Ovis aries: one gene and its partner. The main gene of each other region encodes a partner of the protein of the gene in region 2 in a complex. Links are inferred from orthologs where the notes say so. Each region holds a gene or a part of one and is shown on either strand. Other genes may lie near its edges.

The links.
Region 1: the proteins of MEP1A (region 2) and FETUB are in contact, whole or in part, in a cryo-EM structure (PDB 7UAI), measured with the Homo sapiens proteins. The link is inferred for Ovis aries from reciprocal best matches to the Homo sapiens genes MEP1A and FETUB. Residues at the interface, in NP_005579.2 of Homo sapiens: Asp126, Gly127, Cys128, Trp129, Ser130, Glu131, Val132, Gln145, Gly146, Cys147, Tyr149, Ile152, His155, Glu156, His159, Tyr164, His165, Gln167, Ser168, Leu184, Gly186, Tyr187, His189, Asn190, Asp192, Tyr194, Tyr214, Gln215, Phe217, Ser218; in NP_001362516.1 of Homo sapiens: Phe109, Phe110, Lys144, Lys145, Tyr148, Met149, Thr150, Cys151, Pro152, Asp153, Cys154, Pro155, Ser156, Ser157, Ile158, Ser196, Ser197, Gln198, Trp199, Val200, Val201, Gly202, Tyr205, Phe206, Thr242, His245, Trp246, Phe249, Val250, Ser251.

The regions. Positions count from the first base shown.
Region 1 is NC_056054.1:201,343,473-201,347,814, reverse strand, and holds the start of FETUB (fetuin-B), read left to right. Parts: upstream 1-1,499; 5' UTR 1,500-1,604; coding exon 1,605-1,832; intron 1,833-2,160; coding exon 2,161-2,271; intron 2,272-3,772; coding exon 3,773-3,860; intron 3,861-4,342. UniProt on the Homo sapiens protein: Protease inhibitor required for egg fertilization.
Region 2 is NC_056073.1:19,969,947-19,974,064, reverse strand, and holds the start of MEP1A (meprin A subunit alpha), read right to left. Parts: upstream 2,805-4,118; 5' UTR 2,795-2,804; coding exon 2,726-2,794; intron 2,641-2,725; coding exon 2,616-2,640; intron 2,528-2,615; coding exon 2,477-2,527; intron 1,457-2,476; coding exon 1,416-1,456; intron 89-1,415; coding exon 13-88; intron 1-12.

The sequences.
Region 1 (4,342 bases), on a different chromosome or scaffold from region 2:
ACATATAAGCAATGTCATATGATATTTGTCTGGCCTACTTTACCTAGTAGCTAATCTCTAAATCCATGCATATTGCTTCAGATGGGATTATTTCATTCTTTTTCTTGGCTGAGTAATATTCCTTCATGGGCCTCCCAGGTGATGCTGGTGGTAAAGAATTCACCTGCCAATGCAGGAGATATAAGAGAAGCAGGTTCCATCCCTGGGTTGGGAAGATCCCCTGGAGGAGGAAATGACACCCCATTCTAGTGTTCTTGCCTGGAGTATCCCATGGACAGAGGAGCCTGAAAGACTACAGTCCACGGAGTCTCAAAAAGACACAACCGAGCATCTGAGCACAATATTCCATTATAAACACATATATACATATGTGCAAAAGTGTTAGTTGCTCAGTTGTGTCTGACTCTTTGAAACCACATGGACTGTAGACTGCCAGGCTCCTCTATCCATGAGATTCTCCAGACAAGAATACTGGAGTAGGTAGCCATTCCCTTCTCCAGGGGCTCTTCCTGAACCAGGTATGAATCCTGGGTCTCCTGCATTGCAGGCAGATTCTTTACTATCTGAGTCACTAGGGAAGCTTATATATATATATAATATATATGTGATCTTCTTTATCCATTCATCTGTCAGTAGATACTTAGATTGTTTCCATGTCTTGGCTATTGTAAATAGCACTACTATGAACATTTGGGTGCATGTATCTTTTCGAATTAAGAGTTTTCTCTGGATATATGCCTAGGAGAGGGATTATTGGTGCATATGACAATTCTATTTTTAATATTTTAAGGAACCTCAATACTGTTCTCCATAGTGACTGCACCAATTTACATTCCCACCAACAGTGGAGGAGGGTTCCCTTTTTTCCACATCCTATCAGCATTTATTATTTATAAACATTTTAATGATGGCCACTCTGACCAGTGTGAGGTAGTATCTCACTATGATTTTGATTTGTATTTCTCTAACAATTAGCAGTGTTGAGTATCTTTTCATGTGCTTCTTGGCCATGAAACAGAACCCTTTCTAGCCAGATTTAAAATGCTTTGGGAATCTCACCAGAGCTTCATGTATATGAAGGGCTTAAAGGGCTTAAAGCCCTTTTTCTGATATAACAAGAATGGTGAACCCAGGTTGTGGAGTTTGAAGTCACGGAGCACCATTACCACTGATTCTGGGCTCCAAGCCTGAAATAAAGGTGAGTGTGGCCAGGACATTGACTGGAGGCAAGGTGTTAGGGGTAATGAGAGAGGAGGTGATAGTCTTCCTATTCTGACTCAGCTAGAGCCTTGAACAGAAATCAGAATTCAATACCGATCTCCCAGGAGCCTTGACCCAAGTGTTTGTATTGATTTCTTGGGTAACAGGTACACATGAATGTGAGATTACTCTGGGGTCTAAGGTTATAGATAGTGGCAAATCCCATCCAAAGTACTGACTCAGCGAAATCTACATTTGGAGTTTCAGAGATAAAATAGAACATTGTGCTTCATATCCGGATCACTGGTTTAGATTGCGATTACAAAGCTGCTCAAATTGGCCTCAAGATCCTACAAACAGCCTCATTCCTGCAGCTCCGCACACTCACCCCTTCTCACCATAGGATGAGTGTGCTCCTACTCCTGGTGCTCTGCACCCTGGCCATGGGCTGCGGGGCTGCCTCTCCACCCCAGCCAGCCGCCAGGCCCTCGCCTCTCCTCTCCCTTGACTGCAACAGCTCCTATGTGCTGGATATCGCAAATGACATCCTGCAGGACATCAACAGGGACCGAAAGGATGGTTACGTGCTGAGCCTCAACCGAGTGAGCGATGCCCGTGAACATAGACAGGAGGTAAGTGGTGGTCCCCGGTGGGGCAGGTGTTTGCACAAGCTGGGGAGGCTGGCCAGGGCATGGGAACGCAGAGACACCTGTTGGCTGTTGCTTTCCGAGTCAGAAACCTGCTGAGTACACGCTGCTCTCCTCTGCTAGGGTGCTACTGCCTCTTAGTAGTATTTGAAACAAGTGCTAATGGTATCCACTCTGAAACGTGTCCCATCATTTACAGGAACACTTCACAAACATCAGAGCCTTTGGCTTTGCCATAAAACAGAGTTTCTTGGCTGGTCATTAGAGGTTTCTGCTTCATGTGGGTTGTGCATTTCTCTTCCCCCTTGCACAGGCTGGTCTGGGATCTCTGTTCTATTTCACACTGGACGTGTTAGAGACTGGCTGCCATGTGCTCAGCAGGACATCATGGAAGAACTGTGGAGTGAGGATCTTTCATGAATCGGTGAGTACTTTCCCCAGGAGCTTGAGGGGGGAAACTAGGTGTCCTCTGTCTACGGGATGAAGATTATTCAACATGTGCCATCTTTAAATGTCCCTCTTTATAATCTCTGGGGCAGGGTGCTTATGTGGTTATTTCAATTTGATAGAAGAAAGAATTTAATCAGACAGGGTTTCTGACGCTCCCACTGGGGTCATGACCTCAGAATAGAAATGTTACCCCCAAACTGTTTTCTGCCTCCAAAACCTTCCTGTAGGCTCTGAGCTAGGCTTAAGTTGAGGGGCAAAGATCTGAGGTATAATGCTCTGGATGTATGTTTAAGGAAAACTAGAAGCAATGGCAGGGGAGCTTTGAAATTTGTTTTAGTTTTCTTTATTTTGTTTTCAAGAACACTTATATGAGATTTGAGGCTGGGGATAGGGAGGGCTGTGGTATGGGTGCTCTCAGAGGTGCTATGAAAGGATTTCATAGTATCACAGAACCTAAAGGGAGTCAGAATTGATCCTTTTAAAGATGGCCATTGAAGAGGCTTGAAAAGAGCATCATCAGTTTTCATCTATCCTGAGATTATTTTCATTAATTTATATGAAACTTTATATGTGATATAAATGTGATATAAGTATCTAGAAGTGAAGTGTTTGGCAAAGATGTCTTTTTCTAGTCATTTAACCAAACTTGCCAAACTGCACCTACCTGGTTTGGGAAAGCAAAACAGTCTATATACCAGTCTATATACCCTGTTGTGAATTATGTTTGTTAGGCACCAGCTTAATAGACAAAACATATTTGTGCATCACTAGCTGCATTGGAGAAGGAAATGGCAACCCACTCCAGTGTTCTTGCCTGGAGAATCCCAGGGACAGAGGAGCCTGGTGGGCTGCCGTCTATGGGGTCGCACAAAGTCGGACACGACTGAAGCGACTTAGCAGCAGCAGCAGCAGCAGGAGCTGCTATAACACATATACCAAAAAGGATATACCAATTGCAAAATGATAGGACTTGGTTTCCCATTCATGTAAAGTTTAAAATAGAAATCCTTGATGAGGAAGGGGCTTTCCTCCAGGAGTGATTTGGAGACTGGATACTTCCATGCTGTGGCTCCCTAGACTCTGTAGCTTCACCTTGTAGCTTCAGTGGTCACCATGCTCATTGCATCAAGCAGTGGAAAGGGAAAGAGAATGGAGGGCAGATAGCATGTGGGAGGGCTTTACAAGCTAGACCTAAAAGTGGATATACATCCCTTCTGCTCACTTGGCTGTGGTTAGAGCTCATTTACACACAGTCATGTCTAAGCAGGAAGGAGGCTGGGAAGAAGTCAAGCTGTGTCTCAGGTGAAGGTTAAATTGTTTAATGATTAGCTGGCAGTTTACTCTACCCAAAAACTATGAAAATTGACCTTGAGTTTCTTGTTCCTTAAAAATGAAATGTCCAGTTTCATTTCAGGGGTATTTTTTAAAGTCTTAGTTCATTCCACTGTGTCATGAAGTGCATTTGTTGGTTCTAGGTTTATGGCCAATGCAAAGCAATATTTTACATTAATAAGGAAAAAAGAATTTTCTATTTACCTGCTTATAATTGTACTCTTCGCCCAGGTAAGAGATCACTTTCATTTTTTTCACTTTAATAACAGATGAAAACAGAGCATTTAACTCTCCTATGCTGTAGTGTATAGGGTTTCTTCCATCCTCACTTCTTATTCATCCCAAAGCCAGGTTCTTTGTATATCCAGCATTTGCACTGCTCCTCTTCCCACAATTAATCTTTCTAAATAACCTGCAAAAGCTCTACTTTGTGTCCTACATCAAATCCTAAATTTTCAGTCTGATGTAAATGGCACAATCTCCATGACTGGTCCCCAGGCTTCCTTTCTAGCTATCTGTGCCTTATTTCACTGACTGTACCGATTCTGCACTCCGTTCAACCAGATGACTCACTGTTTTCTGAACACACGTCACATTCTCCAATCTCTGCATCCAGTTTGTGTTCCTCCCTCTGCTGAGGATACCCTCCACGGATAACCTCTGCCCTTGGAACTCCTAAGCATTCTTTAAAGATCATTGCCGAGGCTGCTTCT
Region 2 (4,118 bases):
AAGTAGTGTTACCCAGATTGTCAGCCAAGATGTAAGGAATGGGGAACTTCCACCTGGTGCTTGGATCTCTCAGGCCATTTCTGGAATTCTGCAGAAACAAAAGGCAAAGCTGACTGGACAGCTGGTCTCCTTGGCTTCCTTTCCCCTTCTGTAAACTCCCATATCACAAACAATCTGTCACACTATTCAAATAGTCAAGTTGTCTTCAAATTATAAAAACAATAAATATTCATTACAGACAATATAGAAATTTCCAGATAAATTTTTAAGACCAAATTAAGGATGCGTGTTCCTTGAAAGAAAAGCTATGACTAACCTACACAGCATATTAAAAGCAGAGATATTACTTTGCTGATAAAGATCCATATAGTCAAAATTATGTTTTTCCAGTAGTTATGTATGGATGTGAGAGTTGGACCATAAAAAGACTGAGCACCAAAGAACTGATTCTTCCTAACCGTGGTGGTTGGAGAAGGCAATGGCAACCGACTCCAGTACTCTTGCCTGGAAAATCCCATGGACCGAGGAGCCTGGAAGGCTGTGGTCCTTGGGGTCGCTGAGGGTCAGACACGACTGAGCGACTTCACTTTCACTTCTCACTTTCATGCATTGGAGAAGGAAATGGCAACCCACTCCAGTGTTCTTGCTTGGAGAATCCCAGGGATGGCGCAGCCTGGTGGGCTGCTGTTTATGGGGTTGCACAAGAGTTGGACACGACTGAAGCAACTTAGCAGTAGCAGTAACCGTGGTGGTGAGGATTCTTGAGAGTCCCTTGGACTGCAAGTGGGTCAAACCAGTCAGTCCTAAAGAAAACCAACCCTGAATGGTCATTGGAAGGACTGATGCTAAAGCTGAAGCGCCAATACTTTGGTCACCTGAAGAAGAGCCTACTCATTGGAAAAGACCCTGATGCAGGGAAAGATTGAAGGCAAGAGAAGAAGGGGACGACAGAGGATGAGATGGTTGGATGGCATCACCAACTCAATGGACATGAGTTTGAGCACACTCTGGGAGCTGGTGACGGACAGGGAAGATTGGGGTGCTGCAGTCCATGGGACTGCAAAGAGTCAGATGTGACTCAGTGATTGAACAACAATGAAAGAGACCTACATTTCCTCAAAACTGAAATAGTCACTTTCAGTATGGCGGTGGATTTCCTTCTCTCTCATTCTTCGTTTCTTAGGAAAATTGGGTGGACAAGGAATTTAATAATTATAGACTCTTTTTTCTGGTCGCTAATGATTTCATCTTTTTTTAACCAGCAACCAAAGCGGAAGTCTTTGTCCATACAAATTATGGCTGAGATTCTTTCATCTTCATAATGGTCATCTCAGGGCTGGACACAGAGCAGAGGCTCACTGTCCTGTCACAGCCAGTCCTGTGGGAATGTTCTGGTGTCCCTAGAAGGTACTCACCTGCAGGAGGATGTCCCCTTGAAAGAGGTCCAATCCTGCAGCTAGATGTGGATTTAAAAAGAGAAAGATTTGAACAAGAATTGCTAAAATGCATCTCTTATAAAATGAGTCCTTTCTATCGTTGTCTTTAGTTGTTGATCTTTATGTGGTTAAACTCTTTTTAAAACAATACAAAAATCCATTTTAATTGAACAAATGTAAAAGCTAATAAATATCATATATCGTCATATCCACTGTTGCCATTTTTTTGGAACAAGAAAACTTGGAGGGTATTCTGCTTAGTAAAGTAAGTCAGACAGAGAAAGACAAGTATTCTATGTTATCACTTACATGTGAAATCTAAAAAATAAAACAAACTAGTGAATAATAAAACACAAACATAGAGACACCGAGAACAAACTGTTTACCAGTGAAGATTGAAAAGGAGGTTAGGAAGGGCAAGAGAAAGGTAGGGGATAAAGAAGTACAAACTACTGTTTATAAAATAAATGTCACAAAGATACAGTGTACAGCACAGGAAATATATCCAATATCTTATAGTAACTATGAATGGAATATTATCTATAAAAATATTTGATCACTATGTTGTACATCTGAAAGGAATGTAATAGTGTAAATCAACTATACGTCAATGAAAAAAAGAAATCTTGTCCAAGAATCTTGAAAAGTGAGAGGTGAATTAGAAGGAAACTTTTTGGTCATCGGTATCAAAACTCTTGCACTCGAGGGATCGAAATGGGACTTCTGAGATAGGAAGTGAGGTACTAGGTGATCATTTCAAAATGAAGACTGGAAAAATGATTTTTTTATAAACAAAAATTTTGTTATATATTTCTAGAGCCACTGAATACTCACTAGTTCTAGAAAGTTCAGTCTAACCATTATTCTCTTTTCATGTTTCCATTTTTCAGAAATGCTGAAAATTCTAATGAAGCACCAATGAATAGTTCTCTCCTAAAGTTACTCAATATCATACTCTGAAAGTTAAGAGATTTTCAGCAATTCTATTGCAGGGTTTTAAATTATTTAAAGATATTAATAATGGCAGAAATTACACCCACCTAAGTTGATTTCTGAAATATCCTTCTGTTCGTCAAATTCTCCATCATATACTGTTAAAAGTGGGGAGAAAATTGTTATCAGTCTTGCTGAGCAAAGAAAAGTTCAGAAAACTCTCTATGTATTTCAATTAGTTCTTACCACTTCCTTTAGAAAGATGGTTAATCTGAAAGAAATAAATATACAGAAAAAGGATAACATATACTAGAATTAATATTTCTAAATACCCTGAAGAGCAGAACTCTACTTACCGATACAGCTGCTATGCGGGCAAAAAACAAGATGAAAGAAAGAATGCAAGCCAATCTCGTCCAAATCATTGTTGCAAGTGAACAGATTTTAGCAAAGACACCTTGTGATAAGCAAAGACACCTTGGACCTTGCTCTGGCTGTCTTATTAGAAACTTTGACCCTTACATATGTTCTGTAGCATTGAAGTCACAAGAGAAACTATCTTTGCTGCTTTGAGGACAGATACAAAGTTTCACAGAAAAGCTCAAGTTCCAGAAACTAGAGAAGTTTGAAAAAGTCAATACTGAGATGAGCACATAAAAATAAGTAACATTCCTACATACCAGCAATAACCATTCATATACATAGCATAATATAACAGGTAAAAGATCCATTTCATAATAGGAATAAAAGCTATCTATAAAATGATAACAAATTACTTAAATAAAAATGAATTAGAGTTGCATGTAAATATAAAGTAATTATTGAAGAACATAAAGAGCTGTGTATACACACACATATATATTTATTTACTATATGAAATATTCATGGACAGGAAGACTCAGTATAATAAAGATGGCCATTCGTTTGATATTAGTCTATAAACAATGTTATTTCAATAAAAATCTTTTTAAAAATATTTAATTGAAGCATAGTTGATTTACAATGTGGTATCTGTTTTGGGTGTACAGCACAGTGATTCAGTTTTATATATATATATGCATGTATTTTAGATTCTTTTCCTGTATAGTTTATTACAAAATATTGAGTAGAGTTTCCTGTGCTATACAGTAGGTCCTTGTTGGTTATCTGTGTTTTATATTTTATATACAGTAACATGGATATGTTAGTCTCAACCTCCTAATTTTCCCTCCTTCCCCCTTTCCCCTTTGGTAGCCATAGTTTGTTTCCTATGTCTGTGAGTCTCTTTCCATTTTGAAAATAAACTAAATATATCTTTTTTTCTTGATTCCCCACATAAGTGATATCATATGATATTTGTCTTTCTCCATTTGCTTTATTGCACTTAGTATGATAATATCTGTGTCCATCCATGTGGCCCCAAACAGTATTGTTTCATTCTTCGTTCTGGCTGAGGAATATTCCATTGTATATCTGTACCACATCTTCTTTATCTGTTCCTCTGTCGATGGAGATTTAGATTGCTATCAGCCAAATGAGATTTTATCTTTCCCTGTCTTCTTAGACTTATTTGCACAACTTACTCTAGTGGTGAAGTTGAAATCAGATGAATAGAAAAATTGAATCCTACATCTACCACTGGGCAGGTGTGGCATTTTGAGCATTTGCTTTCCATGTGTCAAAAAAAAGAGGGGTACCTATTTCATGGGTCTAATGTTGAGATTCAATGAGACAACCTATGTAAACCACAAGTACCAGGAACATAGGAAG